Sus scrofa: one gene and its partners. The protein of the gene in region 4 interacts with the protein of the main gene of each other region in a pairwise test. Links are inferred from orthologs where the notes say so. Each region holds a gene or a part of one and is shown on either strand. Other genes may lie near its edges. The genes, in order: WBP11, SPRED1, TPRN, PPP1CA, STAU1, CSRNP1 and ZFYVE9.

What was found.
Region 1: the proteins of PPP1CA (region 4) and WBP11 interact in binary tests that used the Homo sapiens proteins (3 or more experiments, as listed by UniProt). The link is inferred for Sus scrofa from reciprocal best matches to the Homo sapiens genes PPP1CA and WBP11.
Region 2: the proteins of PPP1CA (region 4) and SPRED1 interact in binary tests that used the Homo sapiens proteins (3 or more experiments, as listed by UniProt). The link is inferred for Sus scrofa from reciprocal best matches to the Homo sapiens genes PPP1CA and SPRED1.
Region 3: the proteins of PPP1CA (region 4) and TPRN interact in binary tests that used the Homo sapiens proteins (3 or more experiments, as listed by UniProt). The link is inferred for Sus scrofa from reciprocal best matches to the Homo sapiens genes PPP1CA and TPRN.
Region 5: the proteins of PPP1CA (region 4) and STAU1 interact in a two-hybrid assay, tested with the Homo sapiens proteins (2 studies listed by BioGRID and IntAct). The link is inferred for Sus scrofa from reciprocal best matches to the Homo sapiens genes PPP1CA and STAU1.
Region 6: the proteins of PPP1CA (region 4) and CSRNP1 interact in binary tests that used the Homo sapiens proteins (3 or more experiments, as listed by UniProt). The link is inferred for Sus scrofa from reciprocal best matches to the Homo sapiens genes PPP1CA and CSRNP1.
Region 7: the proteins of PPP1CA (region 4) and ZFYVE9 interact in binary tests that used the Homo sapiens proteins (3 or more experiments, as listed by UniProt). The link is inferred for Sus scrofa from reciprocal best matches to the Homo sapiens genes PPP1CA and ZFYVE9.

Annotation. Positions count from the first base shown.
Region 1 is NC_010447.5:57,748,698-57,752,875, reverse strand, and holds the start of WBP11 (WW domain-binding protein 11), read right to left. Parts: upstream 2,929-4,178; 5' UTR 2,725-2,928; intron 1,019-2,724; 5' UTR 961-1,018; coding exon 897-960; intron 370-896; coding exon 338-369; intron 1-337. UniProt on the Homo sapiens protein: Activates pre-mRNA splicing. May inhibit PP1 phosphatase activity.
Region 2 is NC_010443.5:133,013,863-133,018,262, forward strand, and holds the start of SPRED1 (sprouty-related, EVH1 domain-containing protein 1), read right to left. Parts: upstream 2,864-4,400; 5' UTR 2,731-2,863; coding exon of another isoform or gene 1,749-2,730; 5' UTR 1,721-1,748; coding exon 1,689-1,720; intron 1-1,688. Other genes in the region: basic salivary proline-rich protein 2-like, read left to right, coding at 1,749-2,730. UniProt on the Homo sapiens protein: Tyrosine kinase substrate that inhibits growth-factor-mediated activation of MAP kinase. Negatively regulates hematopoiesis of bone marrow.
Region 3 is NW_018084833.1:698,524-702,636, forward strand, and holds the start of TPRN (taperin), read left to right. Parts: upstream 1-1,184; 5' UTR 1,185-3,234; coding exon 3,235-4,113. Other genes in the region: TMEM203 (transmembrane protein 203), read left to right, coding at 1-144. UniProt on the Homo sapiens protein: Essential for hearing. Required for maintenance of stereocilia on both inner and outer hair cells. Necessary for the integrity of the stereociliary rootlet.
Region 4 is NC_010444.4:5,118,906-5,123,081, forward strand, and holds the start of PPP1CA (serine/threonine-protein phosphatase PP1-alpha catalytic subunit), read left to right. Parts: upstream 1-1,296; 5' UTR 1,297-1,331; coding exon 1,332-1,386; intron 1,387-1,882; coding exon 1,883-2,014; intron 2,015-2,145; coding exon 2,146-2,376; intron 2,377-2,974; coding exon 2,975-3,079; intron 3,080-3,470; coding exon 3,471-3,694; intron 3,695-3,776; coding exon 3,777-3,911; intron 3,912-3,994; coding exon 3,995-4,105; 3' UTR 4,106-4,176. UniProt on the Homo sapiens protein: Protein phosphatase that associates with over 200 regulatory proteins to form highly specific holoenzymes which dephosphorylate hundreds of biological targets.
Region 5 is NC_010459.5:50,849,283-50,853,369, forward strand, and holds the start of STAU1 (double-stranded RNA-binding protein Staufen homolog 1), read right to left. Parts: upstream 2,892-4,087; 5' UTR 2,855-2,891; coding exon 2,650-2,854; intron 573-2,649; coding exon 448-572; intron 1-447. UniProt on the Homo sapiens protein: Binds double-stranded RNA (regardless of the sequence) and tubulin.
Region 6 is NC_010455.5:23,842,337-23,846,691, forward strand, and holds the start of CSRNP1 (cysteine/serine-rich nuclear protein 1), read right to left. Parts: upstream 2,863-4,355; 5' UTR 2,653-2,862; intron 1,765-2,652; exon of another isoform or gene 1,477-1,764; intron 1-1,476. UniProt on the Homo sapiens protein: Binds to the consensus sequence 5'-AGAGTG-3' and has transcriptional activator activity. May have a tumor-suppressor function. May play a role in apoptosis.
Region 7 is NC_010448.4:159,983,854-159,987,486, forward strand, and holds part of ZFYVE9 (zinc finger FYVE domain-containing protein 9), read right to left. Parts: intron 3,236-3,633; coding exon 1,137-3,235; intron 1-1,136. UniProt on the Homo sapiens protein: Early endosomal protein that functions to recruit SMAD2/SMAD3 to intracellular membranes and to the TGF-beta receptor.

The DNA of each region.
Region 1 (4,178 bases), on a different chromosome or scaffold from region 4:
GCTACAGCTCCAATTCAACCCCTAGCCTGGGAACCTCTGCATGCCACAGGTGCGGCCCTAAAAAACCAAAAACCAAAAAACTATGTTACAATAATCTGTCTGTAACTGTATACTTCAGTTTGCAAGTATAGTATTTTGGCTTACAAAAAACAATGTAACTGTATACCTCAGTTTGCAAGTATAGTACTTTGGCTTAGTAAATCTTATGGTTTGTTATGAGAAGCATAATGTATCTTTTCTCAAAAACAACTGGAAATGTTTTCTAAATCCACTCATTGCAAATAATAAGATGTGCCAAACTACACTTATATCTAATAGGATGCTTCTGAAGTCATACCTTCTTTAATTCTCTCTTCCGAGCTTCTTTTCCTTAAGAGAGGGAGACAGAAAGAAAATAAAACTTTCAAGTCTTGAACATTAGCATTTTCTCCAATTTAATACAGATAATTCTTTAACGTGGGAGGTTGACCCTGGGCACTGTAGGATTTAGCAGCACTCCTTGATTTTACCCATTAGAGGCCAACAGCACCCTTCCAATTACATCAACCCAAGATGAATCAAGACATTGTTAAGTCCCTCAAAAAATAGCTATGATTCTGAAGAAAAAAGATGCCAAAAAATACTAAACAAAAACTTAAAAACAATTTGTTTAAAATCCCAAATACAAAAAGAAAGCTTTAAGCCAATTCTACTTTGAAAGTCAATCAAATTAGAAATACAGGTGCTACTTTTTTTGGTATGCTTAAAGTTTTAATCATGTGCCCAAGAGAACAATAGGTAATTTTATAACTGATACTTCCTAACACTGCTGATCTCTAAGGCTTAAAATAGACTTCCTAAACCTTGTGATTTTTACCACTTCTCCTCCTTATCATTTCACATTAATGGATACTTACTGGCTTGGTCTGTGGGGTTCATAAATTTTCCACTCTTGGTGGATGATGTTGATCTCCGTCCCATGTTGACAATTTGTACGGTTTACTTGTTTAAAAAAAAAAAAAGCCCAAAACCTAAAAACCTGTAAAGACAAAAAAAAAGAAACAAACAAAAAACCACACTGATTTTTCCTATATTTACAAAATTTCTTTTTATACTGATAAAATTTTCTTCCTACTAAACTCTGAAAAGAAACATTTCTTTGATTGAGACCTTATTCTTTCCCTAGTCTTGACTTTAGTGCCCAGGAAAGATAGTCTCAACTTCCCCAACAGATTCCTATTATTATTTACAAAGGTAATGAGCCTGAAGATCACTATGAATATCAGTTAGTCGTCAGTTAACTTTCTTCTATGGATCACAATACTGACTCATCAATAGAAAAAAAAAAATCAATCAGAAAACGCTTCAACAATATGACATGAACCATGTGCATGAGAAGCTATTAGTTCTTTTCCTATATCCTTCCTGTATTTATAGGCAGGGTGAAAAGGAATAAGAAGGGATGGTGTGTGTGTAAAACTGGGCTCAACGACAAATAGCTCACCCTTGCCTCTTTCATTGGTTTCCTGGCATGTTTTCCCAACACCTCTAAGACAGTAAAAACTCATTAATTTAAGCCTATTTAATGCAGATTTAGAATTCAGATATAATTCTTGACTCTCAAGCAGAAGCTTAAAACATAACTAAAAACACAAATATTCAAAATGAAAGTATATGAGAGCTTCTAAACACATAAACATCAAGATACATATTTTTCTTACTAATATCAACTTGACTTCTGATTTGTATTTTTTTAAGGTCACTGGAAGCGTTAATTGTGTTTGAGGGAAAATACTTTGTAAGTCAAAATTTTAATTAATTTAAGACACTATTACACTATTTCTTCCTGTTATTCCAAATGAATGAGGTTTAACTTTTTGATGCTTGCTCTTGAAAATAATAAAAGGTGGAAAAGAAATCATGAGGTACACTTTTTTAGCAGACCATGTAAGTCCCCCTTCCCTTCATGAAGGTTTTTTTCAGGCAAGTTTATTAGTTAATACCTCTTTCGGCAAGTGTTCAACTGCCTGGATTTCTGCTAAAAAGCTTCAAAACTGTTCCAGTAACAACTAATTCACCCTGTCAAGGGCTTCCTTCTCACAAAAACTGGGAGTGAGGGGCGAAAGGAAGCGGAAACAAGCAAAATTGGTGCAAATACAAGCTCTCGCATCTTTGATGGCTTTATCTTTTCTGCTTTCCTCTCTCAATTACCCTCAGGCTTAGGTGTTGACACTCCTCTCCCCAGCCTGAAGCCTAAAACAGGTACGAAGTACAGAGAATTTTTACAGAAGATGCTGGAGCCTGACTATGCACAAACTACTTTCCTGTCTAAAAGCAGAGGCGATAGAGACATCGGGTCACGGGCTGTTCAGCGGAACTCTCAACCTCCAAAGAGGCTTCAAAGGAACGGAGCCCAGGTCCAACAAGGGGCCAACAGTATTAGCAACTGCCGAAACCATAGCGACGGTTGACCCTGATTCCAGGTATAGACATCACATCAAACCTAAGGCAACCCGGTCAACGTCAGGAGGCTCCGCTGACCAACCCGGGAGAAGTCAGGCGCTTGACCGCCGGACGCTGCTCCGTTCCAGGCTCGGGGATCCCCTAGTTCCCGGTCTGGTAGACGCTAACCGCGAAAAGGAAAAGCGGGGGCACAGGGGCCTGGCGTTCCCGGGGCAACCGCGCGGGCCCCAGGAAGGGACCCGAAGGATGAAGAACCACAGGGGAACGATCCCGCACACTCACACCTCTGCTGGGCTCCTGGGGCTGTGAGAAGCGGGGAGGGGACGATTCTTGGCCTGTTTGACTTCGCAGAGGCCTTCACCTCTGCCTCTCGGTCAGCCACCCAGCCACCGCCATCTTGAAACCTCGCGCCCCTCCGCCATCCTTACGTCACTTCCTCTCCATACGGGCCGACAATCTCATCGTTTCGGCGCCCTGAAACCATAGAGAGTAACCGACAACTCCAGGACCAGAGTCTCTTCCGCTGGAGTACAGTACCGAATTGGTTGGTCGGGGCTGAGAGCCCGCCCTCATTACTCAGTGCAGTGCATGTTGATTGACACTCCTATAGCCCAGTTAAGAATAAGAAAATTAAGCGGGTGGGATATATGATTGGCTGATGCGACGACAGTCCTACCCTCAGGCATTCTGACCTAATTTCCGGGATCCGCATTTATTTCACCGCCTGAGGCGGGCGGAATCCGGATGGGGAAGTTTAGCGCCGTTTGTGTTACCGGGGATTGTGTTTCTGTAGTTTCTTTGATCATGACCAGCGCTTGCCGTCTTTTGAGAGTTTCTGTTTAAAAAAGAATCCCGGGCGTTCCTGTCGTGGCTCAGTGGTTAACGAATCCGAGTAGGAACCATGAGGTTGCGGGTTCGATCCCTGGCTTTGCTCAGTGGGTTAAGAATCCGGTGTTGCCGTGAGCGTGGTGTAGGTCACAGACGCGGCGCCGATCCCGCCTTGCTGTGGTTCTGGCGTAGGCTGGGCCGCTATAGCTCCGATCTCCCATTCGGAGCCTGGGAACCTCCATATGCCGCGGGAGCGGCCCAAGAAATGGCAAAAAAGACAAAAATAAATAAATAAAATGAAATAAAAAAGAATCCCCCAAGAACACTTCTTGCTGTGCTTGATGCACTTGCCTAACGTGGTGTGCGCCTGGAAATTCAGTAGTTTTTACACAGACCATTTGTAGACCTGAGCAAATCGGTGCCCATATCAGAGTCCCAGATTGCTGCAGGACTATTTTTCTTTGAAGAGGGAACGTGGGGTACATGTACAGTCAGTTTTAAGTTTACGAGTTGTGAGATTGATTTATGTCAGCTCTTTTCTGCTCTTTTCATTCACCAAAAATCCTTTATGATGTCACTGTGCTAACGGACTTAGTTCCTTAGGTCTAATCTCAGTCCTTTTCCTTCGCTTTTATGGGCTCTTTATCTGAGAGTCCTCCCATATCTTTTCCTTTTAAAGGTAAGTTTAAATATTTAAGAAAATATAAGGACACCTTGGTTATTTCTCCCCTTAATCTTTCCCTTATAGGGAAATGTTAACACAGGCCAAGTCTTATTATCGGTTATAAATATGCCAAAATCTTGACGGAGGTATATAATTAACTTTTAGAGAGTATTTAAATAGGCATTTAACCTGTAAAGTCGGTCCCTTATCTAAAGGAACTCTTGCTTTAGAAAACACTTGATTT
Region 2 (4,400 bases), on a different chromosome or scaffold from region 4:
CAGTTTTTCTCTACTAACTTTGCGTTATCTGAGATACTTTTTGATCTCTCTCAAAGTAGGTCTAATCTGCGGAAGGCAGTGAGACAGTGTACAGCACTGTGAATGGACAGCCAGGTATTTTATGAATGGACGCGATCACGTGATCCCAGCACCTCCCCGAACTGATATTTCCCACATAACTGTGTCAACATTCTGAGAACAGGGGTAGTTGTTTGTGTGTGCGTCTATTTTTGAATTTAACCTATAACTTCGAACTCTCCTTACTTTCTGAACTCAAAAATCTACAGCAAGGCAGACAGTTGAGCTTCTAATTTTTTTCTTGGGAAATCCTTTCAAGATGTCCAAGGTGATGGATGTTTAATTATTTTTTTATGAATGAAGAGTGTGCTATGCAAATGAGAACGATTCACAAAAAGAGAGAGAACATGGCGGCCACTTCTGCTTCCAGACTGCACTGACACTGCAGCAATCTACCTTCTCCCACACCCGCTCAGCAGAAGAGAGCGCTGGGGGGGGTGGGGTGGGGGACGCTGCAAGGCATTTCTCAAGCTACTTTACGTTAAACAAGCCTAGGCTTCGGACTTTAAAGTTCTCTCAAAAAGGTCTGACTTGAGGAATGCACATTACTTAAAGGAATGCGTCCTACTAGTCCTAACTCACTTAACTCTTTATAACTCACTTAACTCTTTATAACCCTCCAAAGATTATCAAAACCTGAATTTAATTACAAGAAACGGATGCTAATAAGCAGCATGGAATTAAATCCCGTCTCAACAGAAAGCGGTTGCCGCATCATTATTCCTCCAGGCAGCTGTTACGTTAAAGCAAAATATTCTAAAGGCACAGTATTTCGTTTGGAAAACATAAGGACAGCCCAAATAAACAAGAACTTAAGCCGGGATGCTCTAGAAGTTAATGAATGAAGTCATCAAAAAGGTCAGCAATGTAAACACTGTTAAATCAACGTAAATGGTGTGTTTCAAAATACAGCTGAGAGAGATAAAAATCCTTATAGCTGAGCGTTCAAAATCCTTCTACGCTCCTGATAAAGACAAGTCCAGCATTCGCAAGGCAAAACAGTATAGTTTAACATCTCCCACACTCAAGGTGTCCTTAATGCTATTAAATTATTAAAATGTTTCCCTCGCCCCATTTTTTTACAAGAATCCTACAGGTCACAAGTTTAAAAGGGGGGGGGGCTTAATCGGTATTTAAGAGTCACTGACTCATCGAATTAAGATTCAAGAGCAGTTTGCGGCAGGAGGTGCTCCCACACGTTAGTTTCCGAAAGAAACTGCTATAAAGGAGGCAGGACGGATATTCAAGGTATGCTGACCGGCATGCTAAAGTGAAAAAGGACAGGCCAGAGGTCTTCCAGGCACTGGGGTAATTTCTACCCCGCCTCCATGCATCTACAGCACTCCATCTCCCGAGCGCACAATTGCCATCCCAGCCCAACACTAAATACCTTCCCCCAGATGAAAGCAACTAAAGGCTGGGGGTGGGGGTGAGGGGGTGGGGTGCAGCCATTAAATAAAATGGCTAAAAAAACAAATGTTTTCTCCACAGCAAGATGCACCGAACTCTCCAGGGTTGCAAGCACCTAAGTCTCTGAGGGGTCTGGGGGAGTGCCAAGGAAGGGGGCTATGGGAGGGGTGGTAAGTAATCAAGATCAGTAAGGTGCTTACTCGTTGTCAGAAGTCGCCGTCTCCTCGCTCATCTTTCCCTCACCGTGATCCGATCTGGAGATGGAGGAGCAACAGCAGACGCAGGAGCAGCAGCAGCACCGAGGGGCAAGAGGCAGCGGCGGCCGGGGGGGCGCGGGGGCAGCGGCTCAGGGGCCTCACCATGGTGGATGTCTCACCCGGAACGGTACCCCCCCAGCCGGGAACCCCGGCCACCCCCGCAGGGGGGTGGCGGCGACAACCTCCACCGTGGCGACCCCAGCCTCTTCGCCCGCCTCAGCGCCCAGCCAAGAGATCCGAGGAAGCCAGGGAGGGTGGGAGGAGAAGAAAAAAGGCAGGGGGGCTGCAAAGGCAGACTGGAGAGCTGCTCCTCCGGCCACTGGGGTGGAGCGCGGCGGGGTCCGGCCAGGAAGGAGCGGGCGGGCGGAGAACCCAGGAGCAGAGGCGGCGCTTCCCTCAAGGATGCGGCGAGGAGGAAGCAGGGCTCCGCTCGGTGGGGGCCGGCGGGGGGGTGCCGAGCCCAGACCCGGGCGGCGGCAGCGCGGTCCTGCGGAAGCCCACCCCACCATCTCCCGCCTCGCGGTCGGCTGCCCTCAGTCCCCGGCGGCGACCGGGCCGGTCCTTCCGGACGAGCAGAAGCGGGCGAGGGGCCTCAGGGCGGCGGATTCCTCCAGACACGCTCTGGCCGGGACGGTTCCAGAAGAGGGAGGAGGGGGCGGCGGGACGCGTGTGAGGCAGGGGCAGGCGGACCGACCGCCCCCAGCCGGGCCGGAGAAGAGCGACGCGCCCCAGGGGCAGGGTCACGAGAAGCGTCGGGAGAGCGAGGGAGCGGCCGCGGGTCCCCCAGCAGCCTGCGCCCAGCAGCAGCTCGGCGGGTCAGCTCCTCACGCCCGCCAGAGGGGAGCCGCGAGGGGGGCGGCGGAAGCGCTCACGCCGCCCGCTCCTTCCGCCGCCGCCGCTGCCCGAACCGGGGGCGCCCGCGGGAGAAGGAGACGAAGTAGTCCCTGGCGATTTCCCCGCACCGCCAGCTTCCCGGAGAACCAGAGTGGGTATGGGGCGGGGTGGCCGAGCGGGGTGACCGGGCTGTGAGGGTGTAGTGGGTAGGAGGGCTAAAAGCTGCGACCTCAGGACGAATCACCGCAACTCGAAGTCGTGTGCAGCATAGCAAGTTTCAGGAAAGTAGTTCCCTCCTCCCTTCATTTCCCAAATCGTTGTCGAGCCACAGAGCGGGGAGAGGAGGAGGGAGGCGGAGGGATACGCAGGCACGGTGCTCGTGTGCGTGCGCGCGCTCCAAACTCTTGGCACGCCGCGGAAGGAGGCGGGGGTGGGAGCTGCACCGGGAGCAGCTCCGGAGGTTGCATTGTGGCGGCGCGGTACTCCCCTTAACTCGCTTTGGAATATCCGGGTTGTTTGAACCTAGAGGCTAGGATGACAGCGTGCTCAAGGAGGCAATGGAGGCTCCTCTGTTCAGCTGTGTGTGTGTGTGTGTGTGTGTGTGTGTGTGTGTGTGTGTGTGTGTGTGTTTTCCTTGCAGAGCAAAGAATGGAACTGGCATGAGTTCATCTTTAGTTGGTGGGGGTTGGAGGGAAGGGACTACATGTACAAAGAGAGCTCCTCCTGCTGTCCCTCTGGTTGCACTGCTGCAGTCTCCTAGCTGCATGCACTGAAGGAGTGTGTGTGTGTGTGTGTGTGTTAGAGAGGGAGAAAGAGTTTAAATACCTTGGATTCTTACTGAGCAAGGGGTATTCTGTGCGGGGCATTCATCTCAAAAAGCTAGCGTGGTTGTTAATGGAGAACGACTTCCATTGAAGCCCTGGGTAGGCGTGTTATATGAATCTGGCGCAGCCAGAAGCACAGGAAATAACTCCCGCTGCGAGTGAGGTTGCATAACTATAGCGCAGAAGATGCCTCTGTGGCACGCACGAACTGCTCTAAACCGAGGCGGAACAATTATTCAATAGGCAGCTGTCACGTTTGCAATGTTAGAGGACAATGTATGCATTCAGCTCAAAAGGTTTTTGCACAGAAACCTACTGGGGTTTGGGCCAGAGTTTAAGGGTCTGCCGGACCAGAGGACTCAGCTCCTGGCTCTGCAAGTGCTATTATCTCTTACCTACCTAGAAAGGCAGCCTGTACTGGATCAGGCCTGGTGGACTGAGTCCCAAGTTTCTGACGCATCTCCCTAGGTATCAGTATGGCTCTGTGTGCAGTGCTTTTTTTCTCTCCTTGGGTTTGTGCGACCCGAGGACGAAGGTTGCTGCTCCTGCCACCTTGAGGAATAGAACAATTCCTGAGAAAGAAAAAGTGGGAGACTGCCGAATAAGTCAGCACTCGTTTGCCATCCATCTCCAGGAAGTTTCAGGACTGCTGTTCCAGAGAGTCTGGACCAAGCCTTTATATAGTATTTTGGACATTGTAGGTGCTTAGTCAATCCTAGAGGAATAAATAAAGGAGTTGAATCAGTCTGCCCAAAGACCCTCCCGTTGATTTCTGAGGTTTTATATAACTCTTGCTTCTTGTCTTGCAGCAGAATTGTCCTTTCTCAGGGCAAGGAAGGGGTAGTGTTAGTGACAGGAAGAGGTAAAGGGGATAGGCAATAGTCAGAAGTTGCCTCTGAACCTATGTTTTTCATATTGTTCCTGCAAAGAAACTGTGACGAGAAGTGTTGGAACTGCCCCCTCTCCTTCCAATACTGCTGCTCACCACATTGGCTGC
Region 3 (4,113 bases), on a different chromosome or scaffold from region 4:
GTTCTTAGCCTCAAGTTCGTCTTCGAGATGTTGTTGTGCCAGAAGCTGGTGGAGCAGACTCGGGAGCTCTGGTTCGGCCTGATCACGTCCCCGGTGTTCATTCTTCTGCAGCTGCTCATGATCCGTGCCTGCCGGGTCAACTAGCCTCGCAGAGGATATATTGGAATGCTGGACCCCAAGCTGAGGTCCCACTTGTACTGCATCAGAAGTCTGAGTCTGACATCCAGCTTGAGCCCTGCCGAGTGCCCAGTTTTCTCTCTTCCAGTCATGTCTGAACTTGTTCCCTCAGCAGGGCTAAAAAGAGCAGCCATGATCCTTGAAATGTACTCCCTCTTCTTTCATGCTTTGAATAGCTAACTTTGAATTGAGATCCCGAGAAGGGCCCCAGGCCACACAGTACTGAACACCTCTGACAGGTGGAAACTACATGTAGGCAAAATGCTCTGATCGGCTCTGAGTACTTTCATGGATCCTGGGGAGGTACCCCCTGTGCAAAGGCTGCGAAGCTGGACTCGAGCTTTCCTCTGGCCAGCAGCGCTGACCTGAGCGCTCCCGGCCCCAGCCCCAGCCCATCCAGGAGAAGACCTCCTTCGATGCCTGAGCTCTGGAAAGTGTAAACGTGCTTGTGTCTCCTTCCTGGTTTCCCTGGGGAGGACAGGCCTTCTTCATTCCAGCCCAGGCAGACAGGAGTACGTTGAATAATCACGACTGGAACCCTATGTGGAGTTCTCCACATAGCTGTGTGCTTTCCAGGCACTGCTTGGCTTCCTGTCCCAGCAGATTGCAGTGTCGTGACTTGTGCATCACCTTGTGGCCGGCCCTGTTAGCGTACCTGAGACAGATGTAGGCCTTCCTAGGGGACCAGGGAGAGGACCAGGTACCCTGAGGCTCGTGGGCATTGCGACCTACAAACGAGAAGTCTGCACATGGTCTCAGCCCATGCTTGTTGGCCTGAGGGCTTTGGTGTGGTGTCAGTCAGGTGCCAAATGAGAACATCTGCTGAGATGAAAATAAAAGCATGTTTTGCTGACGTGCACAGTGGTTGCTTGACCTCTTGATGGTGAAATAAGATGAATGCTGAGACGCCCCCTGCTGCGGGGTGCAGCAGGTTACAGAGCTGAGGTTGTAAGGGGGGCTGGAACTTGGCAGAGCTTCCTGGGCCGGGGGAGTGGTGGTGGTTCCCTTGGGGAATCCCAGATTCTGCCTGGGGAGGCAGGGGGTAGTCAACACAGGGTGCACTCGGGTTGAGAACCTATCAAGTTTGTGTGGCTTCAGAGTCTTTGTGGGCCTTGGCTGAGCTGCAGAGCAGGGGTTGGCAGACTATGGCCTGAGGCCTGTTTTTGTACTGCCCATCAGCTAAGAATGACGTACATCTTCATAGGGTTGTAAAAACAAAGAAGCATGTGCCAGGATGGGAATGTGGTCTGCAGTGTACAGGGTCTCTCAGTCTCGGCACTGTTGGCCTTTTGGGTCGGGTCCTTCTTCGTTGTGTGTGCATGGGGAGTGGCTGTCCTGATCCTTGTCGAGTGTTTAGTGGCAACCCTGGCCTCTACTCACGAAATGCCAGTGGCACCCCTCACTTGTGACAACCAAAAGTGTCTCCAGACATTGCCAAGTCTCCTGGAGGACAAAGCTGTCCCTGGTGAGAACCACTGGGCTAAAATATTTACTGGCTGGCCCTTTACAGAACACGTTTGTGGACCCTTTTTCTAGCGAAGCACCTTTGGGAACTTTTCCTGGGATGGATCCCACGTGGCCTGAACCACTGAGATGCTTGAGCTGGAAACTGGTCGTTTGCCCCACAGCCTCAAAAATGTCTCTTACCCAGGATCCGCTCAACGTGTCGAAGCCAGACACAAGCTGGTCCTTGGGAGTGGGTTTCTTTTTAATGTTCTTTTCAGGTTGTGTGTTTTGGTGTCCCTCCGCTGTATTCTGGTAGTTCAGAATGAGGTAATCCTGTCGACCTAGAAGTGATAAGAAGGCCTAACTTCTTTGGAAGGGTGGTTTGAGGCGCGTCCTGAAGGGACATCTGGGCTCTGGAAGGCAGAACTGCAGTTTCTTCTCTCTAGATGAATAGATTGGGCTGTTGGAGTGCTGTTAAAGTAGTGGCAGCTACAGACTGCCAAGGGCCCCAGGCTGAGCCGGACACCCCCAGGTCGAAGCCTGCCCCTGGATTTTGCAGAGCCCCAGGTGCTCTTGGAGCCTGGTCCCTGAAAGGTAAGCAGTGTGGGACGCAGTGGTGTCATTACTGGACAACTGCTGACGTAGGGCAGGTGACGTTGTCCTTGTCTACGGCCACCTTCCCCCTCTCTCCTTGGCACCCACAGGCACTGTGGGTGGGCACTGTGCAGCCCTCCAAGGGGAGTAAGCTTCCTCTTGGCAAGTAGGCAGAGAAGCTGTGTTCTCAGAGTCAGTGGCGCTCATACCAGCCTTGGGACGGGCGGTTCCACACGTGAACGGAGTATACGCTCTGACTCGAGGTTCTGTCTGCGTTGGAGAGCTGTGGGCCTGCTTTCGTGCGGGGAGGGAGCCCCCTTCCTCTGTACCTGCTCACGGCTTCCACACTCCCCTCTGTGTTTGGTGGGCTCTGGGCGTGAGTGGAGTTTCCACTACTACTCTGAGCAACTGAGTGGATACTGGGGGCGGCAAGAGCTAGGGACTCCCGAGAAAGCAATTCCTCAGCACCGGATGGGGCCCTAGCATTGGCATCCCCCAGAAGTCCCGCGGGGGACAGAGGACTGCAGGTGGGCAGTTCCTGGACCATGAGGCAGGTGTGCAGCCGGTTCCCTGCTCACGGAAGCTTCCAGCCCTGGGTTGGCTCTTCCTCCATCGATCTTCCCACGGGGGTAACGCAGACCGGGACCTGCTCTCCCCGGGCTCAGTCCGGTGGGGGCGGGGGTCTGGCCGAGGGAGCAGAGGCGAAAGTGGGGGCCTCCGAGGAGCGACCTGAGGCGTCGGGGGCGTGTCCGAGAGGGCCTCGCCAATGGGGGCCTGCTGCGGCGAAGGCCACTGTCCACCGGGGCTCGCGGGTAGGCGGGGTCGGGGAGGGCGCCCTCCAATCAGCACGGCCCGCCATCCTTCCCTGCCATAGGTGGGGCCGCCGGGCCCGGGCGGGTCTGAACGGACCTCCTCCAATGTGCGGCGGCCGGGAGGGCGTGGCCGCGGCGCGAAGGCCGGCGGCGGGCGGTGGCCGCAGTTCCTGGCCCTCGCTGGCTCCGGCGGCCGCTCTGCAGCATGGCCGGCCTGGGGCGGCCGGGCCCGGGATCCCGCACCGCGATGCCCGCCTGGAAGCGAGAGATCCTGGAGCGGAAGCGGGCCAAACTGGCGGCCTTGGGTGGGGGCGCGGCGCCGGGCGCCGGGGCGGGCGCGGCGGAGCCCCCGGGGCCGGCGGCCGAGCGGCTGGTGCTGGCCGAGAGCCTGGGCCCGCTCCGCGAGAACCCGTTCATGCGGCTCGAGTCGGAGCGGCGGCGTGGAGCGCGGTACGGCGGGGGCGCGGGCGTGGCGGGTCAGGGGGCGCGGCAGGCGCCGCCGCTGCTGGAGCTGTACCGCTGCGTGCCTGGCGTGCGCACCATCCGCGCCGACAACATCCTCATCATCGAGTCGGCGCCCGGCTTCCCGCCGGCTCCTGCGCCCGAGCCCGGCCCCGGCCCGGGCCCGGCTGCCCGCATCCGCGCCGCCGAGGTGCTCGTGTACGAGGCGCCGCCGCCTCCCGGTCGCGTCAGTCGCCTGCTCCAGAAGTTCGACCCGCCGGCCGCGCCGTGCCGCCGCGGGAGCCCAGAGCGCGGCCGCCCAGCGCCGCCGCCCTCCCCTGGCCGGTCCGTCCCGCGCGTGGGCGAGCGCGCCGCCTGCTTCAAGCCGGAGCCCGAGCGCTGCGGCTCAAGCCCTGGCCCCGGACCCCGGCGCAGCGACTTCCTGCACAAGACCGGCAGCAACTCCTTCACTGTCCATCCGCGGGGCCTGAGCCGCAGCGCAGGCACTCGCCCACTCCCCAACGGGCCCGCGGCCCCCGATCCCCGGGCTGGCGCTGCCAACGGCCTGGCGGGCTCTGCGCCTGGGCCGGGTGAACGGAAGCCAAAGGTGGAGGTGGCGGAGGCCCCTTCCCACCCGCCCCTC
Region 4 (4,176 bases):
TGTGTCTGTGACCAACACCACCGCTCACGGCAGCGCCGGATCCTTAACCCACTGAGCAAAGCCAGGGATCAAACCCGCAACCTCATGATTCCTAGTTGGATTCATTTCCGCTGCGCCACAATGGGAACTCTGAGAATTACGGTTTATTGAATGTTTGCTCTTCACGAAATAACATTTTTCACATGCGCACAATGTAGCTTAATTATGCTACTCAAAAGGCAATGATAAAACATAAAAAAAAAAAAAAAAAAACAGGGAGTTCCCCATCGTGGTACAGTGGAAACGAATCGGACTAGGAACCATGGAGTTTCAGGTTTGATCCCTGGCCTCGCTCAGTGGGTTAAGGATCTGGTGTTGCTATGGCTGTGGTGTAGGCTGGCAGCTGTAGCTCTGATTGGACTCCTGGCCTGGGAACCTCCATATGCCGTGGGTGTGGTCCTAAAAAGGACAAAAAGACAATAAATAAATAAATACATAGATAGGAGTTCTTTCTGTGGTGCAGCGGATTAGTGGTATGGCTTGTCTCTGTAGAGGCGCTGGTTCAGCATTGCTGCATCTGTGGCATAGGTCGCAGCTCCAGCCTGGATTCAGTCCCTGGCCCAGGAACTTCCACGTGCAGCTGAGAAAGAAAAAAAAAATTAACCGCTAATTCAGCTTGCATCACAGGCACTGTGGACCAAAATGGGCTTGGAGTTTAGTGACAGGTTTCTAGGTCTGGTCAGTCACCTGGGGGCCACAGAGACTCCGGAGGTAGAGGCCCTTGAATTAGGTCCAGGTCTTGGACCAACCCTTTGCTATCTCTGTGCACTTCAAGGACTTGATCGGCAGTATTTGGGGAGACCCAATGAGTTACCGATGAGCTCACACCAACTTCCCGCCCAGGGCGGAGGTGAGAAGGACTGCGTAGCCCTTAAAAGAGAAAAACAACTTCCACAGCACTTCCTGTCCCATATTCTCTGGAAAGGGGTGGCCAACTTCTCATAGGCAGAACTAGACTCGACCTCGCCCCTCGAAGCCCCGCCCACCAAGAGGCTCCGCCCCAGAGATGGGCGTTCCGTCCGAGTCCCGCCCCGTGACTGAGGCCCCGCCCCCCGGGCCGCTTGGGCCTCTGCGCCCGGCGTCCGGCGGAGGCGCTAGAGCGCTGGGGCAGCGGACGGGGCGGGGCGGGGCGGGGCGACGAGGGGCGGAGCGGGCGGCCGAGGAGGCGGGGCGGCGGGCCGGGGCGGGCCGGGCCGGGCCGGGCGGAAGGAGAGCCAGGCCGGAAGGAGGCAGCGGGAGGGTGGGAGGCAGGAGCGGGCCCGGAGCTGCTGGGCCAGAGCGGCGGCGCCGCCATGTCCGACAGCGAGAAGCTCAACCTGGACTCTATCATCGGGCGCCTGCTGGAAGGTTGGCCGGGGCGGGGGAGGTGGGCGCCCGCCGCGCCCTGGCCCCCTTCCCGGCCCGGAAGTGGCGCGCGGGTGGACCTGCCCCTCCCAGGGCCAGCTTAGACTGGGCGGGGACGGGCCGCGAGGTCCCGTGGCCGTGGCTCTCCCCGCCAAATCGCGGCGCGCCTGGAGGTCTGGGGTTGTTCCCCGCGCTGGAACAGGGCCGGGGCGCATGGGTCGGCCTGGGCTCTTGGGGTGAGGGAGAAACCCGAGAAGCCTAGCCACCCGGGAAGGGGTCCTGCGCTATCAGGCTTTGGGTGGTAGGGCCCCTGCGCACAGCAGTCCCCTCCCAAGTGCCTTGAGGGTAGTTGGGGTCCGGTCCCAGGAGGCTCAGCAGCAACAGCTGCCTCTGGGCAAGGAGGGGCCCAGGCGCCCCAGAAGTGCTCATGAGGGCCTGTGTGTCACCCACCCTCTCCTAGTCTCAGGGACCAGGGTCCTGACGCTCCTTCCACCCTCAGTGCAGGGCTCGCGGCCTGGAAAGAATGTACAGCTGACAGAGAACGAGATCCGTGGTCTGTGCCTCAAATCCCGGGAGATTTTCCTGAGCCAGCCCATCCTTCTGGAGCTGGAGGCACCCCTCAAGATCTGCGGTGAGCCCCCTGCCCAGCCCCTTTGCTTCCTGGAAGTGGTTTTGGCCCCTCTAAAGTCCCTGGATCCCAGCCTTATCCCTGGGTTCAGGTTTAGACTGAACCTAGACCTGACCTGGTTCCCTGGGTCCCAGGTGACATCCACGGCCAGTACTATGACCTTCTGCGGCTGTTCGAGTACGGCGGCTTCCCTCCAGAGAGCAACTACCTGTTCCTGGGGGACTACGTGGACCGGGGCAAGCAGTCTTTGGAGACCATCTGCCTGCTGCTGGCCTATAAGATCAAGTACCCGGAGAACTTCTTCCTGCTCCGTGGGAACCACGAGTGTGCCAGCATCAACCGCATCTATGGCTTCTACGATGAGTGTAAGTGCCATGGGTGTCTGGGGCTGCCCGGGTCCTAAAGGGCTCTCCTGGCCATTCAGAGGGACCCTCGAGTTGGCCTGGCAGCTGGGGTATCAGTGTCTGACAAATACCTGCTAGACTGAGCTCCGTGAAGGCAGGGCCGGGCCAGGCCAGTTCAGGTCTCTCCACCTGCCCTCCTGGCATGGGTCCTGGCACTCAGGAGGGATCTGGTGAATGGGTGCTGGCTGCAGGGCTGCCCGTATTCTAATAAGGGCCTTGCCCAGTGACACTCCCCTCCAGCGCATCCGTTACTTAAGCACTTAGGCTGCCTGTCTGGACTGGACTCTGTTTGCCAGAAGCAGAGATAAACAGACCTGGTCTTGGCCTGGCCCTGCTCATGTGCTGCAGGTGGGTGCCAACCCTGAGGTTGTTCCAGAACTGGAATGCTGGGGTTCCTGGAAAGCTGGTAGGCAGTGGGATGGGTTTCCCTTCCTTGCCCTCTCTGCTTCCCTCCCAGCTGTGTCTGAACAGCACATGATGTGCCCTGCAAGGCCCAGGGACCCCGGCTGAAGGTGGGGCAGCCAGGCCTTCTCACGAGCCACCTCCTTCCTCTGGGCAGGCAAGAGACGCTACAACATCAAGCTGTGGAAAACCTTCACTGACTGCTTCAACTGCCTGCCTATCGCTGCCATTGTGGACGAGAAGATCTTTTGCTGCCACGGAGGTGAGAGCAGCTCTGGGGCCCGCGCTGGAGGAGTGCTTGGGAGGGACGAGCCTGGCCCCATCCCGGGGGGCTTGGGGACAAAGGCATCAGCTGCAACAGTTCTCCCCCGAGTCGTTTCTTCCATGAAGTCCCCCCGCACCCTCATGTCAGGCTGTGCTGTCAGGTCGTGGCCACAGCTTCACACGTGGAGTTTGTCTCCTTTCTCCAAGGAGCCCTGTGCTCCTTGAAGAAACAGGGGCTACGAGAGGCAGAAGGTGGCGAGGTCTGCCTGTCATGGCTCCCAGGAGACCACGGAGGGGTGGGGACAGAGGCTGATCGGCAAGGCTTCCCGGAGGAGGCAGGGGCCTCGTTTTGAGGCTCAAGGAAGTGATCTACCTCCTGTGCTCCCCAGGCCTGTCCCCCGACCTGCAGTCCATGGAGCAGATTCGGCGTATCATGCGGCCCACAGACGTGCCTGACCAGGGCTTACTGTGTGACCTGCTGTGGTCTGACCCCGACAAGGACGTGCAGGGCTGGGGCGAGAATGACCGCGGCGTCTCCTTTACCTTTGGAGCGGAGGTGGTGGCCAAGTTCCTGCACAAGCACGACTTGGATCTCATCTGCCGGGCACACCAGGTGGGCTGGCGGCGCTGGGCTGGGCTGGGCTGGGGCGGGGCAGCCGGCACCTGCTGAACTAACTGCCCCCACCCTCACCCAGGTGGTAGAAGATGGCTACGAGTTCTTTGCCAAGAGGCAGCTGGTGACACTCTTCTCAGCTCCTAACTACTGCGGCGAGTTTGACAACGCAGGCGCCATGATGAGCGTGGACGAGACGCTCATGTGCTCCTTCCAGGTGGGCAGGGGGCCGGAAGGGGCCGGAAGGGGCCGGGGGCCTTTGGCCTGGCCCCATGAACCTGACTGGCTTGTTTCTTGTAGATCCTCAAGCCCGCCGACAAGAACAAGGGGAAATATGGGCAGTTCAGTGGCCTGAATCCTGGAGGCCGGCCCATCACCCCACCCCGCAACTCCGCCAAAGCCAAGAAATAGCCTCCATGTGCCCGCCCTCTATCCCAGATGGTGGATTGTACAGAAATCACATGGCCACAGGGGGGGTCACA
Region 5 (4,087 bases), on a different chromosome or scaffold from region 4:
TATCTGGATTGCTAGCAAGTGGCAAAACTGATTTCCTGCTCACCTGCTCTCCCTGCCCAGTCTAAGGTACACGTGCACGTGCAAACAAGCAGGAAAGGAGCCAGAGGAAGGCTGTAGCCAGGAGGCTCGGAGCCTGTAAAACTCACAGGAAATCATTCGCAGGTACTTGGGAATTGTCTCTATTCAGAATCTTAAACAACCACACACTAATTGGAGTTTTAAAAGCCAAATATCCCCCAAAAGATGCATTATCTTTTCTTTGACCCATTCTGCAAAGATGAAAAAAGAAGCGACTTGCCAAAAATCTGTACTTTTGCATCTCTTTCAGACAACCTCAGCAGTTAAAAAATACGTATTTTGAATCAGAGCACCACTTGCAACTATATAAAAAGAAAGAAAACATTCCTAGTGGGTTATAAACGCACAAGCAGTATGGACAATATTTACCTTACAGTGAGCTGGACCTTGCTCACGCAAAAGCTTATACTCAGGCTGAATCTTGTTGAAACGGGCTAACTCATTCACAAGACACATTGGGGTTTTCTCTTTGGGGTGTGCCATATTAGAAGGAACTGAAAAATAATGTAAGAGCATTGAAGTCAACTAGTAGCATATAAGACTGTGGCTCTACCAGGGATATGAAAAATGAAGGTCTAAGGATTCAGAGCAGCCGTGATGCAAAACTGCAAACCACACTGGGGGCACAGTCTGAAGACACAGCCAGATCTTTTCTGAACCAGTTGAAGCCCGGTAACCTAGGAGAGGGTGTGTCTTCAAAAGAGAGAGAACAGAAGTCAGAGGAATAACTAAATTATGGCAGGCACGCAAGATTTGAAATCAGATGAAGCACTGCTATTATACACAAAGGAATAACCAGGAGATCTTTTGAGCAGAGACACACACACACTGGTTACCACAACAGCTGTCAACTGTACCCTGTTCGTTATTTCACAAAACGCAACATGCCAATACCATTTCTCAAACAACGACTGTCGTTTTCCACACAGCTAACTTCTCATTCTTGGTACGTCCTCTAGTCTTATCACCAGAGGCTGCCATCCTCAGGCTTTATCTATTTCTGACAATTATACAAGAAAAATAAAATGGCTTTGGCAGACAGGACTTTTATAAAATTAACAAAATGTGGATATAAGAACACATGAGAAGAAACAGCAATAAATCCCAGAGGACTGAAATAGTCTGTGCCATTTCCTATTAAGATGGCATTCAAATGGCAAATCTGGGGAACACTGACTCTTTAGGGGACTATAACAAGGTAAGAATGCTATTTGGTGAGCCAGTCCAAGGAAGTCTAGAGGTAGCATGATAGATGCCATGCAGATGAGAGTGGGACAAGGTAACGCTCTAAGAACAGATTTAAAAAGTAAAGAAAATGAGAGGATGAAGGAGGAAATGCAAGCGAAACTGTCAAGCATATTGAGTTGAAAAGAATTTGTTAGAAGGTGACTCTAATATAGAGACACCCATGCTGATACCCCATTTAATTGGTGTTGCAACTTCGGCGGAGGCAGGGGAGGTTTGGGAAGCAGAATATTGTTTTCAGGAGGTTCTTTTTTCAGAGGTGTCATATCCTTTCTGATGAGTGAGAGTATTTAGTTCGGTTTAATTTCCTAATATTCAAATATGACTGCTTCTCAACTTATTTCCTTTCAAAAAAAAAAAATCTCTGCTTCTTGGGAGTTCCTTGGTGGTCCAGTGATTGGGATTTGGTGCTTCCACTGCTACGGCCTGGGTTTAATCCCTGCTCTGGGAACTGAGATCCCACATCAAGCAGCTGCATGCTCCAGCCAAAACCAAAAAAACCAAAAAACTCTGCTTCTTTGTTCCATTTCTAATTGGTCCACACTATGATTTCGTAACTACCTCTGGAACCTCAACTTAAACTTACTTTTTCAAAATAAATATTAATGAATGGTAACACACTTTTGCTTTCCAGTAAATCTGGCTGCTCCCATGCTTGGGATAAATCTTATATATATCCAAAAAGGAGGCTTACACCTACAAGTCAGTTCTGGGAAATAAATTTTTTTTTTTTTTTTTTTTTTTAGGGCTGCACTTGCGGCATATGGAAGTTCCAGGCTAAGGGTCAAATCGGAGCTGTAGCTGCAAGCCTATACCACAGCCACAGCAACGCCAGATCCAAGCCACATCTGCAACCTACACCACAGCTCACAGCAATGCCAGATCCTTAACCCACTGAGCGAGGTCGGGGATCAAACCCGTGTCCTCACAGATATTAGTTGGATTTGTTATCGAGAGCCACAACAGGGAACTCCTCTGGGAAATAACTTTAAAAGCAGAAATTTTCCCATATAGTAATGAATATCCAAAGTAGTATTTATTATTCAATTCTTTCTGCCATCCACCACTTTATAACACAGTAAACTTTATAGTTTAGTTTCCAATTTTCTTTCTCACACTTCAAAATGGTCTGTCCAAGGCCTCCATCAACCCAATATACAAACAAGTGTTTCATATCTGGGATAAAGAAGTGTGGGCAGTAATACTTTCTTCTGCTTCCTGAAGATAAATGTGTGAGAGCTCCCTACATCTGCAATCTACTTATCAGATCAGAACACAGGCTAAGAAAACATTTGAAACAGAAGACACTTGGAGTCATACGCTTACCTGCAGCTGCACTGGTGGATGTAATAGATGCAGAGGGTAAAGCAGAGTTTTGGATAGGTCTACCTGCATTTTCAGAGGGCAGAGAGCTAGTAGTAGAAGGAATACTCATCAAAGGCTGTGAGAGAAGAGACTGGTTCTTGTTCAGTATTTGGCTCCCTGAGAGAGCAGCAGATGGGTTCTGAACTTGCACTTGAACTTGAGACATGGTCACTTTCAAAAAAGTGAACAACTGCAGGTAAACAGCTTTCAGTGCAGGTTAATTCAGTGCTATGAAGTCTAAAGTTCTACCTGAAAGTTGTAGGGAAAGAAAATAAAAAGATAAATTATAGAGGAGATACGTAATTGCCAATATTCAGTCAAAACTGGTGTCACCTACTCAAGTATGAAAATAGCCCCGTTTAGTAGGTAGCTATGTTGATGTATTAGAAATGTGTTTCTCCTTGTTATATGGTAGGTTCACTAGCCTTATGACTTTCTCATAGTGTTTTTAAACAACTTATAATACCCACACGCTCTGCATGTTTATTTTACAAAGAGAACCAGCAGGGTATAATATTTATTGTTGAATATTAAGAATCATAAACCACAGCTTATATTCAAAAATGCAAATTTAAAAATATGAATAAGTTTTCTATTATATATGCAATACAGTAAAGGTTTCTGATCTCAAAATGATAAGAAGCTGAAAGCAAAATGGATTGGTAACACCATTAACAGGTGATTAAATACTGCTTCCATTTTAGGGCCAACTACTTAGGCTGGCACCCTGAGAGCTTTCCTTTAAGTTGACTGAAGAAAGAGAGGAATTCCTCACGTTTGCTGTTTCTTTTTCCTTATGATGATAAAGATCTCTTTGTTTTCACGAGAGGTTTGTTTGAGATGGTCATATTTATTTATAGGCCCCAAACAAGAACTGAGGCACCCACATCAATGCTCATGACCCTGAGAAATTATCTGAATAGGAAAGAACATTCTATAGTATTTGTACTATTAAAAGCAAAAGTGGAGAGGATGAAGAAGAGAGGAAAAGATTTCAGACTGGCAATTTTTCTACTGGTAGCGGGTAGAGCCTGAGGAACAGAGGAGACTGTTTACAGCATCTTCCAAAGGCCTTGCATCTAAAGACATTTAAATTTATTCATGAGTCAAAAATAAGGGCAGTTCTGCATATTTTCATGGCCATCCTTCGAAAAGCTGAAAATGTTTAAGTCAAAAGTACTAAAAAATAACAAGCAACAAAGAACAGAAAAAGCCAACCAAGCAGAAAGCAGCAAACTAACACATCTATTACAGGGTAATTTTTGTTACTTTAACTTTTTTTTAAGTCTCAAAATGATTTTTAATTAAAGCTGAACCTCTAGAAAGACATGAATGACCAGAGCCATTAAGTTACTTGAGAAGTCCTGGCACATTCTCTCTTGCTGAGAAAAAAAAGAAC
Region 6 (4,355 bases), on a different chromosome or scaffold from region 4:
ACCTGAAAATGAGAAATTATCTCCTCCCTGATATTGTGGGAGGAGGAAGAGCCCCTGGCTCTTGTGATCTGCCATCCCACCTGGAAACCCAGAGGCTGAGAGAGAGAGGCAGAGGCAGATGAGACAAAAAGACTCAGTCAAGAGACAAGGAGAGGCCAAGTCGAAAAGGAATGAAAGATAGAGAAAGAGTCCAAGAAAAGTGTCAGACAGTGAGTCAGAGGGTGGGGGAGGGGCCCCCAGCAGCTACCCAGGAATCAAGATCCTGACCATGGCACTGTTCCCAGGGTGAGCACAGCCCCCTCCAAGGGTCCTGTAGGAAGGAAAAGCAATTCCCAGGAGCTGGCTCAGACAGAAATACCACACCCCCTGGAGCCCCGGAGACAGGCCCTGAATCAAAGAGAACCAAGCTTCTTCCGGGATCTGCCTGGGCCCTGAGAATCAGGCCGCCCTGCATCACCACTCACAGGAGCCCAGAGCCCAAGCCAGCGGAGGGGGGGGCGCTTCTTCACCCAACTTGCCACAACTAACTGCACACTCAGGCCACACTATTGTCAACCCAGGGAAGGCCAACTCACCCTGGATACCAAGCAAACAAAGACTGTTTGGGGGGCGGGGGAAATGCCCAGGCCTCTGAAAAATCACACTAACTCCTCTTCGACCTCTGCAGTCCCAATGCTCCAGCTCCCAGTCAGAGCTATTATTGGGAAGGGGGCACCTTCATCTGCCTCCAACCTCTTTCAGGAATCTGAAGAATGTGTCCTTTAACCTCAGAGCCCCAGGCCTTGGTCAAGCCAGCTCCCCTCAACACCTGGGGTCACATGACCTTGGACCCTCAGGAACTACTTCCTGGGAGAAAGGGAGGGCACCTCTGAGCAGCTCATGCCCCCAAGGGAATTGGCTAGAAAACACCCAGGACAGCCTAAAGAAAGCAGATAGGAAGCCTTGGCACACCCCTCCCCCACCCAACCCTCAGAAAGTGACGGGGGGAGGGGACAGTTCCTCAGCCTTGGCCTCCAGGGCCTGGCACTGGGGAGGTGCCAAAAGTTTGCTGGCTACATGAGGCAATTGCTCCTGCAGAAGGGAAATTGCACCTGACAGTGAACGCTTCCTCCACCTAAGCGGGGCCCCTTCACTCTCATTCATTTATTCATTCAATCAACAAATATTTATTGAGCGCCTAGGACATGCCAAGCACTGTGTCAGGCACCTGGGCATACACAGAGTAAGACATACACTAGTGCTGCCCCCTTAGAGCTGTGAGTTTAGTGGGGCGGAGTATAATTAGAGTTACAAACTGTGTTGAGTGCTGGAATGGAGAGTGGGAGGGATATTTTTTTTTGAAGTTAAAATTAGGTATTTATTTTGTTCCACTCCACTAAGGCAAGATATCCCTGGTTAGGTGAAGTCAGGTATCTCCAAGGAAAGGAGAGGAAGTAGGAAAAATACCAGAGTGGGGGCTAGAGGAGGGAGAGCTAGGGAGGTGAGGGGAAAGGGGCAGCCTGCGAGGGGGCTTCAGGAGCCTGGGCAGTTACAGCAGGCTTTAGCCTGAGGGCTCAGGAAGCCACTGAAAGGTTTTAAGTAGGGAGTGACATACCAGATTTGCATTTTAAAAAGATGGCTCCCGCTCAGGACTGGAGGGGGTGTGACCAGTTGGACCAGAGCTAGGTGAGAGATGACAGGCCAAAGGCTTAGGAGAAAGGGGGCAGGAACTTGGTGACCTCTGGAGCTGGGGACCAAAGAGGCCAGTGAAGTTGAGGATTTGGGGTAAGTGATGAGTTGCGCTCCAGAGGACTGTGAGGCATCGGAGTGGAGGTGTCGGGTGGGCAGTGGAGCCAGGCAGGGACCCTCTTGTGTCATGAGTGTGGGCTGTGCGTGACTGTGCCAGGGAGTAGGAGTGACTAAGTGTGTGCGACGGCTGCTGTGGTGTGGGCATCTTAACGGGGCCCCCGGGGAGGGTAAACTGAGGACCAGGAGGAAGTACGTGCTGGGGAGGGAGCCGTGAGTGGGAGAAGCCTACGTGTGCCCGCGGGTGGCCAGTGTAGCTGCGCCCGTGACTCACAGCGGTGGCCTCTGCGTGTGACGGTGACTGACAAACAGGTGAGCATACGACATAATCCCTCCCTCCCTCCAGGGGTCCGTGACTCACGGAGCCTCACTCCTCGCTCTTCTCTCCACTCCCTCCCTGACGGGCGCCGGGCACTCGCCGCAGCCCCGGCACCCGCCCCCGGGGGGAGCCCGAGGAGGAAGGCGACAAATGTCACCTGCTCCGGCCACGCGAGGAACTTCTGAAAAGTTCTCAGGCAACTGGGTCAAAAGGGAACTCACCCGGGACGCGCGCCCGCCGCCACCCCGCCACCCGCGCGCTATCCCGGCTCGGCTGCCACTCACCCCAGGCTCGGGGCACAGGGACTTCTTGGGGTCCCAGTGGCGGGGCGGGGGAGGGGAGGGGAGCGGAAAACCTGAGACTGTCGCCTCCCCGGCTCCCGGCCCGGACTTCCTCCGTGGCGCGCGGTCCGGGGCCAGGCTGTCTTCGTCCTGGCGCCCGAGCAAAGGTGGCTGGAGAAAACGGCAGGGGCCGGGGAGCAGCGCCCCCCGCACGGGACGCCCCCTTCCTAAAGTCTGTCCCACCGGTCTGAAGCCCCCGACACTGACCTGAGATCCGGATGCTCGCCAAGGGCAACGCTGAGACCTGCGTCCCGGCTGGGAACGCCCCCTACACGGCGACCCCGCGCTCGCTAGCTCGCTCAGCCGGCAGCGATCTGCCCAGCAGCCCCTCTCTCTCTGTGCGTCCGGCAGCAGCGGCGGCGGCGGGAGACTGGCTGCGCCCGGCCCCGCCCGCAACTCCGCCCTCCTCGTCAGTGGAAAACTCCGGGGCTCACGGCGCTGACGCATGCCGGGCCTCCCGCCCCGCCCCGCCCCGCCCCGCCCCGCCCCGCCCCGGAGGCACCGCCTCCTCCCCCTCCCGAGCCGGCGCAGCAGCCGCAGGCCTCCCTGCGGACTCTGACCTCGCGCCAGCGCCGCTGGCGCTCTCCACCCCCAGCCCCCTCCTTCGCCCCTCCGCCGCAATCCCGCGGGCTCTCCTCCGCACACACTTTTGGAGAATCCCCGAAGCTCCGGGCCGGCAGAGCAGGATCGTAAAGATCCCCACCTCTCTTCACGGCCCCAGTTCACAGATAGGTAGACTGAGGCCCAGAGCAATGCAGAGCGTACCTCAGGCCATCCGTGGGTGGCAGAGCCGAGGCCTCCTATACATCTTACCCCCACCTTGCCCGAGGCAGTTTACTATAATCCAATCAAATATTCCTTCCTCCCTACCCGCCCCCATCCGCCTGGAAAGTAACCTGGAGATGAACCAGAGGAGGGGAGTGGAGGTGGGGACGGGGCGGGGGGGGGGGGAGGGGGGGGAGAAGGTCATCCTTGGGCCTGACCTTCACCTCTGCGCACGGGCGAGAAACCCTGCAGAAGCCCAAAGCTAGGGATTCCTGGAACCAGTTTACCCCCACCCCACCGCCACCCCATCCCTCCCTTAAAAAAAAAAGAAAGAAAAAAAAAAAAAGGAAGAGAGAAGGGTAGTTTCTTCTGAGCCAGACCCTGGCCACTTAAATGGCCCACTGCCTGCTCTGCTCCCGCCAAGGCCTTTCCTGACTAAGGGCCAATTCCTCCAATGTTACTGCGCCTGGGAAAGTGTGTGCATGTCTCCGCGGCGAGTTCTGGCCCAGGAGCCCACCCTCCACCCATCTTCCCAACCCCTGGTCAGATCCGACCCACCACCACCCACCACGTCTCTTGAGCGTTTCCACCCTCACACCTTTGCAGCAGCCTTTCCTCTCACCTCGAATGCCTTCTTGTTCTCTCACTGCTTAGCAAAATCCCAACGCCCTTAAGGTCTCAACTTGCACTGCCTCCTCCAGGGAGACTTCGTGGGCTCCTGACCCTCCCCCTCCCAGTCTGGCTCCCGCTGCATTCTGGGTTCTTCTCTGACTGTCCTAGATGAGTGCTGTCTGTGACTAGTCCAGCCCTCAGGGTTGCTTTCTACCTAACTCCAGGTGAGCAGTGGGGGTGACCTGTTCTGCCTGGTTGGCATCTGGGGTACAGATGATGGAAAGATCTCCCTTAACGGCCACAGGTGTGTCTATAGAGGGGGTCAAGAGGGGGTCTGCCTGCCCTTTCCTTTTCCTAGGAAGAATGTAAGGGGGAAGCTACTGCTCCTGTTCTTCCTGGATGCACTGAATGTATGTACCTGGGGGGGCCTTCTGGGGGAGGTGGCTGGACAGCGGAAGCCAACCTTCCAGTGACTTCCCAGTGCTCTCAGGATGAAGTCTCAACTTCATACCTACAAAGCTGGAATAATCAGG
Region 7 (3,633 bases), on a different chromosome or scaffold from region 4:
TAGACCGGTGGTGTAAAGCTGGCCAATAAATTGAAAGAAGTTGCTGGGGATTCTTTCCTCCCTGATGTGGGGGCAGCAAGAGGAATAGGCTGTTTTGCCCCTAATCAGTTTCTTGCACTTGGGAAGAGGCCAGGTTGGACTTAATGCTTAGAGCTGTGCCACATCTTGAGACCACAAGGGGAAGACCAAGAGCACGTCAACGATTCTGACCATATACAAAGCATGCAGAGTCTCTATTTTCAGGTTTCTTGCTATGTGAAATGTTATTTTGTCTAAGTCACTGAGGGCCAGATACTCTGCTCTTTGAAGGTGAAGGCATTCTAATTAATACAAACAGACCAATAAATCAGGCAAGAAGGGTATAGAGGTTAATTACTTAGCACTATTACATTTGTAATCTCATTTAATCTTCATAACAGCCCAATGAAAATGATCTTTTTGTTTTTATGAAAAACTAAAGCTTAATAAAGTTATACAGTGATAGTAACAAAGCTGAAGTTCAAACCCAGACCTGACACCAAAGCCTGCATTCTTTTTAAAAATACAAAATCCCCTTTCCTCCTTTAGCTAAGAGAATTAAGGGAGAGCTAAGAAATATCAATTATTCCTATAACCCTATCACAAGGATCTAAAGCCTTCAGCTCTTTTTTTTTTTTGTATCAGTTATACGGGGGAAAAGACAAAAATATGTGTATATATGTGCAGAAAGTTCCAGAATGTCCAGTACAATGGCAAAAATCCTATAGTAAAAACTGGAATGGTCTTTATAATGTTCAGTTACTCAAGAATTTAAAAAGAGCCAATTGCAAATATTTCTTAAATCAAAAGAATAACTTCCTTATTTCAAACTATTCCATTAAGCAACTAACCACAAAGTTAACACTTCCTCAATTCTCATGTATTCATAAACATTGATTCAGCTTAAATCTTTACAACAACAACAACAAAATGTATATAAACACTAGGACTCCATGAGGTCATTTTTCATTTGGAAACTTACTATAACTAGATGTTCAAAAGCTACTTACAATGTCATCTCAACCAGAAGTATGCTTACTTTATATTGCCCTTACTACTTCTAACTCAGCATTACAAAATGTGCATGCCAGATTCCTGAGCTGATACACACAACTTACCTTCCCACATGCTCTGCAATGATGCCTCCTTTTGGTGAATGTAAACCTGGCTTCGCATTTCATGCAATTTGGAGCCTGAGAATCTGGTACCCATACTGGAGCCACTTCACCCAGAGTGGTAAATGGCTTTCTAGCAGAAATTCCAAACTGACCAGCTCTGAGATCATTATCTGGGCTTTCCGGAGCTAACGCAAGGCACGGTCTACTGGATATTCCAGACTCATAACTTTCTAAATGTTCCCCATTTGTGTCAGCAATAGAGATATTTCCCAAAGAGGCATTGCATATATTGGTTGCTGAATTTTCCCCTAATTTTGCTTTCCCGAGGACATCATTTTTGTTTTTAATATTATTTCCACTGTTTACAGGAAGGTCATTTTGTAAATGGTCTGATAATGGCTTTGGAATTTGAAGTTTAAGATTAGAGGGTTGCTTGGGTCTTGCACCACCAAAAGGAACACTGATAGATTGCAGGTTTGCTACTATCTTAGGTGAAGATTGCCCAAGCACAGATGGAACTTGGCTACAGAAATTGTGTAAATAATTTTTCTTCATGAGGTCACCACTGCTGTTTAAAAGTAGTCCACTCCCTTCTGTGGTTTCATTGCCTCTCTGTTCATAAATATTTGAGTAGCATTCAGACTTGCTCTCTTCTATTTCCTTTTCTTCTGTTACTGAATCTTCTTTGGAGGGTAAAGTCTTTGGAACAAAACAAACAACTGGGCTCTGCATTCCATAGGAATCACAACTAGATAGTGAATTTGCTGCTGGTGTATCCATGACAGTGGAGAAATCACATCCTTCACTTTCATTCATGCAGTTTCCTTTTAAATCTAGACTTGCTTCTGCCAATCTATCACACTCTCCTCCACTATCATCGTGGCTGTCTTCAGGGTGACTTATCTGCAGAAACTTCTCATTCTCCATATTTACCTGGCTGTCATTCATCTTGTTTGGTTCAGTCAATTTCCAATTAGTCATCTCCTGAGATTCAGAGAAATGCTCTGTCATATTAAGAAGTTCTGAGGTGCCAAGAATTTCTTCATGTTTACAACCTTCATTTTCATCAGCTCCAATGTCACGGGGTACAAGGCTATCTGAAAACTGCTCACAGTTATCAGCCCTTCCAGACCCATTAGGCACGTCTGCTTTGAGAAGCAAAGGTAAACCAGACTGGATGGATTCTTCTGTTGTTCTCTCCTCTGCTGGCTCTTTTTCTGTCAATATCCCCTCACTCAAGTGGGAAAAGGAATTGGGGCTCCCTAGATCTGTCCTAGGAGAGCTGGTTTGGCCAGTGAGAACCTCATCTGGTGTAGAGTCCGCTTGCTTTATGGCAGGACCTTCATCCGTTCCCTGGGATGAGATTACTGAATCAAGTGTTAAACTTGTAATCAAAGACATGGAGGGTTCTCTATCTGTATTTTCATCATCCTGTAACTGTGCAGGGGAACAGACACTGGCCAGATTATCAGATGAAGTAGTACACATATATTTAACAGAATCCCCCTCTGCATTTGGTCTACTCAATGGATCTACTTGTTTCTCTGAGTTCATTCCTTTCTCACTGGACCCATTTATACTAAAACTAAATTGATCAGTTTGTCTGTTTTCATTATCCAGCGAACTGTTAAAAGCATCCATGAGGGATTGACTATTATAATTATTACAGTCCTGCAAATCACTTTGTAATGTCCTTTTATCACAGTTATGCATGACGGCTACAACAAGAACATTCTTCTCATCTGGCAGACAAGCTAGGTTTCCACATTTCTTCTCTCCCACTTCAACAGTACTGCATTGATCATCTTGGGTACAGTTCCTCTTAATTAACTGGTCTTCTGCAACTGCATTTTCATCAATCCACATTGTGCTAATCTCTGGATTCAGACTACAATCCTGTCCATTAGCACAATGGTCCTCTCCCTTTGTGTTAAGAGGAGCTGAATGAGCCAGGGAGAAGATTTTCAGTTGTGGCTGTGACTCAGAAACTGTAGGTTCATTCACACTGGCCAATGCAGGGTTAAATGACAGTCGGTGAGAAGAGGGATCTAGTATCTTATTCCATTTTGTATCCAATAAGATAGGAGAAACAGTTTCATCTGAAAAAATAAATAATTACAATAAGTTTGCTATAACACTGATAAGGCTAGAACTAAGTTAATGAACTACATTTGCAAATATGCACTGAAAATAAAATATTCTCAGGATATGTGAAAACTGAATATTCCTAGGATATGGAGTTTCCAATTGTTAGCTGAGGATAAGAAAATACTGCTCCCTGTATTACATGTCATCAAATGCTAATACTTCAGAACATTCCAAACAAGTCTAGTAACATAATTAAAGTGGTCCACAGGCTATATTTGGGGCCTGGGGTGGGGTGGCAGTAATGGGGAAGGCCTTGGATTAGCAAAGCATGGGGTAGGGGATCCTCTGAGATGGAAACAAATCAGAACAATGATAAGGATGTAGTAATTGAGTGGGAGGAAAACAAAGG